Coturnix japonica: one gene and its partner. The protein of the gene in region 1 interacts with the protein of each later gene in a pairwise test. Links are inferred from orthologs where the notes say so. Each region holds a gene or a part of one and is shown on either strand. Other genes may lie near its edges.

Evidence for each region. The genes of interacting proteins can lie anywhere in the genome.
Region 2: the proteins of TRIM42 (region 1) and STK16 interact in binary tests that used the Homo sapiens proteins (3 or more experiments, as listed by UniProt). The two-hybrid records come from large-scale screens. The link is inferred for Coturnix japonica from reciprocal best matches to the Homo sapiens genes TRIM42 and STK16.

What each region holds. Positions count from the first base shown.
Region 1 is NC_029524.1:5,100,479-5,104,723, reverse strand, and holds the start of TRIM42 (tripartite motif-containing protein 42), read right to left. Parts: upstream 2,801-4,245; 5' UTR 2,649-2,800; coding exon 2,308-2,648; intron 1,249-2,307; coding exon 542-1,248; intron 1-541.
Region 2 is NC_029522.1:24,514,590-24,518,139, reverse strand, and holds STK16 (serine/threonine-protein kinase 16), read right to left. Parts: upstream 2,422-3,550; 5' UTR 2,372-2,421; coding exon 2,286-2,371; intron 2,125-2,285; coding exon 1,905-2,124; intron 1,835-1,904; coding exon 1,701-1,834; intron 1,628-1,700; coding exon 1,507-1,627; intron 1,426-1,506; coding exon 1,330-1,425; intron 1,253-1,329; coding exon 1,131-1,252; intron 1,062-1,130; coding exon 923-1,061; 3' UTR 501-922; downstream 1-500. Other genes in the region: GLB1L (beta-galactosidase-1-like protein), read left to right, coding at 2,592-2,645, 2,759-2,931, 3,054-3,204, 3,287-3,347, 3,543-3,550. UniProt on the Homo sapiens protein: Membrane-associated protein kinase that phosphorylates on serine and threonine residues. In vitro substrates include DRG1, ENO1 and EIF4EBP1. Also autophosphorylates. May be involved in secretory vesicle trafficking or intracellular signaling.

The DNA.
Region 1 (4,245 bases):
GTCCCCAGCATTTGTGGTGTTATATGCAAAAATCAAAGTATTTAAAAGAAATTCATAAAATCCCAGTCTCTGCACTGTCACTCAGACACTATGGATGAACTCTTAGATAAAGGAAGTGACATTGCTGTAGCTCCTCAGAACATTGAGGCTGTCTTGCCTCTTACTCAGCATGGACACAATCATAATACTGACTGAAGAGAGACAATTCATAATTTGCCTGCAGGGAAAAAGGCATGTACTTCTGATTTAAAAATGTAGGTGTAATTTGTGGTTGTTTCACACTGGGTCTCGCAGTATGAAATGGAGTTTCCTACACCAAGATGCACTATCTCACATACAAATCCTTTGTTCTCTAGTATTTGAATTTGTCATGTGGTTCCACACAATTAAAGGCTTCTTTCCTCTGTATTTCCACAGTGGGAATGGTTCATCTTTCTGCCTTTTGTGATATTCAAAGAATTAACGTGGCTCATCAAGTGTATGTGCAAGTATCTTTCCTGCAATGGCATAGGGAAGTGTAAGAAGCAGCAGAAATACAAACCTTCTTTAAATTTTACAATTGTATTGGAGAGAGAAGCAGCTTCTCTTGAACACGCAGCTGCCAAAGGGATGGTCTCATGGTCACTGTGTTGCAAATTCTTGCAGAAACAACAGATCAGTTTGTGGTCATCCAGACAGTATTCAGAGAGGTGTGAGTTGTGGTGCAGTAAGCATGCCCACTGTTCGTTATCTTCTTGAGATGCACTGGTAAAAATGTGGTCTTCAGCTCCACTCTCAGCATGATATAAATGCAGACATTCATTGCACATGTTCATTCCACATGTTTTACATCTTTTAGTTGCCACTTTTCTTCTCTCCCTGCAAGCTTCACAATGGACTGGTCCTACACTGTGGTCAAATCTCCATTTCAGAATGCCATGTCTGCGCATGTATTTCTTGGCTAGTTTTGCTCTAAGGTAATTCTTCCTCAGCTGAATTTTGTTTGTGCAAGGGAGACAATGAGCTTTGCTACACACCGGGCATATGATGATGTAATAATTTTCTGTTGCTTCAGCTTTGGTCTTGCTTTTTATTATACATTTCTCACAAATGCAGTGATTGCATGGCAGCATAAGTGGCTGGAGAAATAACTGTTTACACAGTGGACAGGCAAGCTGGTCACGAAAAGCCTGGCTGGAGCCTTTCCTTTCTGGTATACTGGCAGATGTGCTATATCTAGTTCTTAATCTTGATGTGACATCTCCTGACCTTAAGCAAATCAAATGGGGGGGGGGAAGCAAACAAATGAAAATGTAAGGCAGAATATCAGTGCACAATCTAAGAAACAGAATGATAAAATAAGCAGATCCATCTTGCATGCCAACCGTCCCTTTATTTGGACAGGATATTTTATTTAAACAGTTAAGTTAACAATACTAAGAATTCATTCTTTTCATTTTCGTAACTATTTCAGTGTATTTGAATGCTGTTTCCAACAATGTGAGTAGGCAGAAATCTTACTCTTGTCAAGTCTCTCTGAATTTCTTGAGTTAATACTGGTGTCCAAAAAACAGATTTCATTTTGGTTTACTGCAGTCTGGAATGTGTTTTTGTCTCCTTCTCATTTGCTTCTTTTTATAAACAGAACACAAAAATAAATAAAATGAAAAAGAAAAAACTTTTCAATTTAAAATAACAACACACATTTACATAGAAGGATCCTAAATTTTAATTATTTTAAAAAATCACTCATTATTTCTGATTTTTAAAACAAATGAAGATTATTCTTAGCAGCAGTCTTACATCATTAAAATTTTGGCAATTAACATGAAAGAATCAAAATTTGGATATTTTTATTAAAATTAGAATAATTCTTGTATTTTAGAAAATAACTGATTCTCTGCGTTCTCTTTAAATCTTGATTATCCTGGCTTTCCTCTTAGCCAGTGGACATTATTGTTTGAAAAAAAGAGTATTACTTTTATAATGATCCTGGCCATTTTCTATATCCTTGGCAAAGAGCATCATTATTCAGGATGTACTCCTGATTCTAGGAGACTACAATCTGGCCTTCTGCCATGCTTCAGTTTAGCACCTTCTCTGCCCAGATGTTCAGCCATGCTATTTCTTTTCTTGTCACTCTAGAGAATGGTAGGGAAAAAAAAAAAAGTTTTTTTTTGCTTTTAAGAAAGAATGATATCCTGTGGTTTGAAATACTCCACTGAGCCACTGGATCTTATACTTCTAAATGCAAGACATCCATTAAGATGGAATGAAAATTAGAAAAATTTAAACCTATAAAAACTAAAAGCCCTTGATTCCACTTACTGAGCAGTCCCTGGTGCTCTTGACCATCGTGGTTCAAAGACATAGATTCTGCAGCATTTGCTTGCATAGTATTGACACGTTGAATTCTCACCACCACAGCAGCAGCATTTGCAGTCTGGGTTACTTGAGCAAGAGCAACAGCACCACCAGCAATTTGCATGCTCTGAACATGAGCAGTGGCAGCACTGGTAAGATTTGTCCTCTTCGTATGGGCACGGAAAACAGCTGCAGTACTGCTCATTTGTAAAGAGGAAGCGCCAAGATGAGCGGCATTCTTTCTTTACGCTGTGGCAAGTCAGATTACAGCAGTTTGAGAAGCATGAGCATATATCCATTTTCATCTATCCCTCCATTATACAGCTGAAAGAAAGTTCATTTATCCTTTTAGCTTCTCTTCAAATTATTGCAGTTGGGTTCCTACAAGGCAAGAGATCTGTCTGACTCTAGGGTTAAGGTCTGTGCTGTAGGCAGTGCATGTTGTTCTAAATGGAATGTGATGTCACAGTGATGTATTCAAATAAGGATGCAGGCAGGGTACTATATACATGTTTATACACATTTTATACACGCTCTGTATGCTGATTTACAACATCTATATGTCATGATATTTCTAATTGTTCTTGAAATCATAGACAGCATTTACCTCACTCTCCATTAATAGCATGAATAGTTTGTGCAGTGGGATTAGCTATCCCAAGGCAACAGTCTTGTTAGAACTACACACTTTACAGTCATTTTGTTGGCTTCAAATATAGCTATGACACGTAAAGGAAACTTACACTTGATATGCGTCTTTGAGTATGTCTTTTATCTGTAACTGTAATAAGTCTTTGTCAGTGTTGATGCGCTTGAACAGTGTATGGCATTTGGTCCTCCGAGACTTGGGGAAGGAACCATCCTTGGAGCTCAAGTTCAGTGCTCATTCACAGTGGACTTGCATTTTCCCCCTCTAAGTCCAAGTGTGTTTCTTCACCTCCCTTATCCTGACCACTCTTCTATAAATGCAGTATTAGGCCTAATTCTTTAGTTACTTCATATCAAGCGCCTTTTTCTTCTTTTGTTTAGCTAATTTATTTGAAGATTTAAATAGTGCTTTTGTCTATTTGCAGAGATTATAATTTTAAATAAAAATGAAATTATTGTAAAAAATACATGAACTTCTCAGAAGTGCATACTAGTAGTTTACTGTAATGATTACGTCTAACTAAAACAAGAGCCACCCACTAAGTTGCCTGCAGCTGACATCTGAAAAAGCATGTTCTCTTACTGGAAACTTTTATAGGACAGTGATAGCTTTATGATACATACTCAATAATGCTGCTTTTTATAAGTGGCTGCTGTACTTTATGTATCTGAGTTTTCCTGAAATTTAGTAATTCAGCTTGTGATGATGGGTGAATGCATAACTGGGAATTACTAAAATGGGTCTTGATCCTATTTGCTGAAAGTCTGTTCTACATAAAGAAATTCTAATTCACTGATCCAGAGCCTTACAGACTACAATGGCTGTATCATTATATGCAGCCATCTACATGATGGGACATAATGGGTTCTTTGCAACGGTTATAGTCTATTATGTCAATCAGATTTTCACACAGAAGTATTAGATTTGTGTGCTGAATGGCATAGCCTGGACATTCAGTGGATGTTGTTTATACCACTTGTCTTTCTAGTTTTATCAGCAGTAAGACTTTTTTTCTGTGCATATTTAATTTTATCACATTGAATGGCTTTTGCATTCATTTGGTAGGAAAAAATATATCTTCTGATGCTTGTCTGCTTTTCTTTCGCAAATGTTCTTTATGAAGTATGAGTTTTTATTTATTTTTTTGTGAGAAAAGAAAGCTGATAGGATAAGGAAAAAAAAATAGTAGTCCTGTGTGCCATACGCTAATACCCAGTCACATTGTTTTCCATTTTGGTATAATACAGACTCTA
Region 2 (3,550 bases), on another chromosome or scaffold:
TGTTTCACTACTGTGTTTTGGTGAGGGGATTAAAGGAGGGGAATACTCCCTATGAAACCACTTGGCTGCTTCTCTTTCTTTCCCTGCTGCGGGCAGCACAACTGCTGTGTGTCTGCTACACCCCTCCAGCTTCTGGTGCCATCCCAAGACTGTCTTTGCCCCCCTGCAGCAGGGCTGCTGCCCCTTTGCACCCAGGTGCTGGGCTCTGCCTGTTTCTTATGCAGCGTATGCTGCATGAGCCCCTTTCCTGCACTGCACTGCCCCCGCGGGCCTGCACAGCAGCACTGCACAGCAGGGCTCAGCTGTAACCACAGACGGATTTGTCACACTGGAGCCAGAGATTAACTTTCTCTGCTTAACGCTAATGCTGCAGCTGCATGGAGCTGTGGAGCTCTCCTCCCCTGCCATTCCCCTTCAGCAATGCCTGGCTGTGCCTGGCTGCTTGGCCCTGGCCACGTGCCTCGCTCACCCCATTTCCAGCAGGACAGAGGACACTGTGCACACCTCATCAAGAACACCTTTATTCAAAACACAAGGCAACGTGGGTGTCAAGGCAGCGGGCACTGAGCCCCACCTGCCCTCACCTCGTTCCAGCAGCACATACTTTGGGGCAGGAGAGACCTGCCACCCTGTGGGCTCGGGGCGGGCAGCGAGGCCTTGCCCTCAGCAACAGGGCACGTGTGCCAGTCCTGCAGCCTAGTGCTGGCCCGTTTGGCCCCAGCAGCCATGCAGACCCCAGCGGTCGCACAGGCCCCAGCGGCAGCGTTCAGGGTACAAACCACTGCACTGCACACCCCCAAACGACAGTCTGACTCCAAAACACCTCCAGGATGGAGCAGCTCTCCCCAGGGCACAGAAATCCCCCCAGGGGGAAGCAGGCCCAGGGTAGCCCAGCACAGCCTAGGCCAGTGATGGGCCACGTTCAGATACTCGTGGTGATCTGGCCGGCTGGTGTAGCCTGCAGCCCCTCCAGCTGCTGTAGGATGTCCTCAATGCTGGGCCGTTCCTGGGGGTTCACTGTCATCATGGAGGAGAGCAGGCGGTGCAAGGTGGCTGAGTACCTGTGGGGAGTGAGGGGTCGGCATGGCCCCGCCATGGGGAACAGGGCCCACCCAGCTCCAGAGCCTCACCTGGAAGTTGTGGGGATGGTGATGGGGTTCTGCACCGCTAGGGCCACACTGTCACCCTTCTGGAAGATGGCATCGTAGGGGCCCTCCCCGAACATCATGCAGTACAGCACGCAGCCTAGGGACTGCAGAGCAGCCATTAGAGTGGCCATTCACCCCATAGTATGGGGGGAAAGAGGGGGGGCAGTGGCTGCGTCCTCACCCAAATATCCGTGCGCTCATCAATGACACACTGGCTGGGCACCGTGAAGAGCTCAGGGGCACGGTAGGAGATGGTGCAGCGCTGGGCAGCCCAGTCCTGCAGAGAGGCAGAGGGGACGCAGGGCTGGGGGCAGTGGGACGATGTCCCCCCTCAAACCCCCCCAGGACAGGCACCCACCTGCACAGCCAAGGCCTCCCGAGAGTTGGTGACTTCCATGCGGGCCCGGTTCATGGAGCCCAGGTCCATGAGAATAGGCTGGTCGTCCTCATCCAGCAGCACGTTGGTGGGCTTCAGGTCCCTGCAGTGGGAGGGGGACGTCACCAAGCGCCCACTAGAACCCTGCTGCCCCCAGCCCCAGCCATGGCCCCCACCTGTGTGCGTAGCCCTTGCTGTGGATGGCCTGCAGCCCACTGCAGATGCCATGGAGGATGAGAAGGATGCGCTGCTCCGGCATGAAGCTTCCTTTCTCCCTCAGTGCTTCCACCTCGCTCCATAGGGTCCCCCCCTGGCAAAGACACGCAGCGTGCACTCACCGCAACCCTGCGTGGCAATGGGGCTGGGGGCCACCCCCTCACCTTCACATAGGGCAGGAGCAGCCAGGCTTCGTGCTTGGCCCCCTTCTCCACCATGCAGTGTGCCTCCAGGCGCAGGATGTTGGGGTGCTGGAACAGGTTGTGCATCTCCACCTCGCGCAGGGCCGCCTGCCGGTCCTCCTTGTCGTGGCACAGGATGCGTTTCAGCGCGTAGAAGCGCCCGTCCCGCAGCCCCTCCACCAGGTCCACGTAGCTGAAGCCCCTGCGGGGAGCAGAGCCCGAACATCCCCTCCAGCCACGAGCATCTCTCCCCAAATCCTGCCTATCCATCCATCCATTCCGTGCCCCAAACCCCCTTATACCCAACATCCCTCGTGCCCCCGGTGTTCCCCCCGTACCCCAGCCCCCCCAGCCCCCCGTTACCCCTCTGCCAGGCGCTGCAGCAGGAGGTACCGCGCCCCCCCCACGCTGATGGTGCCCCGGGAACAGACGCACAGCGCCTGCCCCATCGTCCACGCGCGTCATCGCCCGCCGCCGCGCGTCACCGTCGCGTCACCCGTGGGACCGACGGGGCGGGACCTGGCTCTAGTGGGCGCGTCCTGTCGCGAGGGGCGGAACGCGGTGCGGGGGGCGGTCCCGTTCGGATCCTCGCCCTCATTGTGCGCTATGGGCCGTGTGCCGGTTCCTTCGCCCGTTCCGCACCGTCCCCCCGGCCGCTGAGCCGCGGTCATGGCGCTGCCGGCCCTCGGGCTGCTGCTGGCGGCGGCGCTGCTGCGTGCGGAGGTGGGTGCGGGAGGGCGGCGGGTCGGGGTCCCGTTCCCCTTTCCCCCCCCCGCCGTTGACCCGCTCTGTGTTCGGAGAGGTGCTGCCGCCCCCAGCTCTGTGCCGTCCCGCAGGCCGCCCCCCCGGTGCGCTCCTTCCAGATCGATTTCGATCGGGACTGCTTCCTCAAGGACGGGGCCCCGTTCCGCTACGTGTCGGGCAGCGTGCACTACGCCCGTGTCCCGCGGGCCGCCTGGCGAGACCGCCTGCTGCGGCTCTACATGGCCGGGCTGAACGCCGTGCAGGTGTAAGTGAGCCTGGGGGGTCACCCACGCGGGGCATCCCACGCCTCTCCTGCCCGGTGCTGTGCGCGGAGCTCCGCACCCCGCAGCCTGCACCGCCTCGGGTTGCCATCCCCTTCTCCCCCAGCTACGTGCCCTGGAACTACCACGAGCCGCAGCCGGGAGTGTATGACTTCAGCGGGGATCGGGACGTGGAAGCCTTCCTGGACCTGGCGGCGGAGCTGGGGCTGCTGGTGATCCTGCGCCCGGGGCCCTACATCTGCGCTGAGTGGGAGATGGTGAGTCCTTGCCTTGCACCGGGGCTGCCGAGCGGCCCCGCTGGCCCCGTGCTCACTGACGATGCTCTCCCCGTTCCTGCAGGGCGGGCTGCCTGCCTGGCTGCTGTGGACGGCAGACATCGTCCTGCGCTCCTCTGACCCAGGTGAGCTCAGCCCGTGGCCACAGCCGTGCTGTTCTGGTGCCCGTCCCCTCGCACTGCTCAGCCCAGCCCCAAGCTTGGCTTTTTCCATTCTCTTCTCCCTCTCTGGGAGCCTGTAGCTCCTCCTCTGCACCCCCCCGTCCCCCTCGTCACAGGGCCAGTGGCTGTGGGTTGGAGCTGAGCTGCCCCTGTCCCCAGCCTACCTG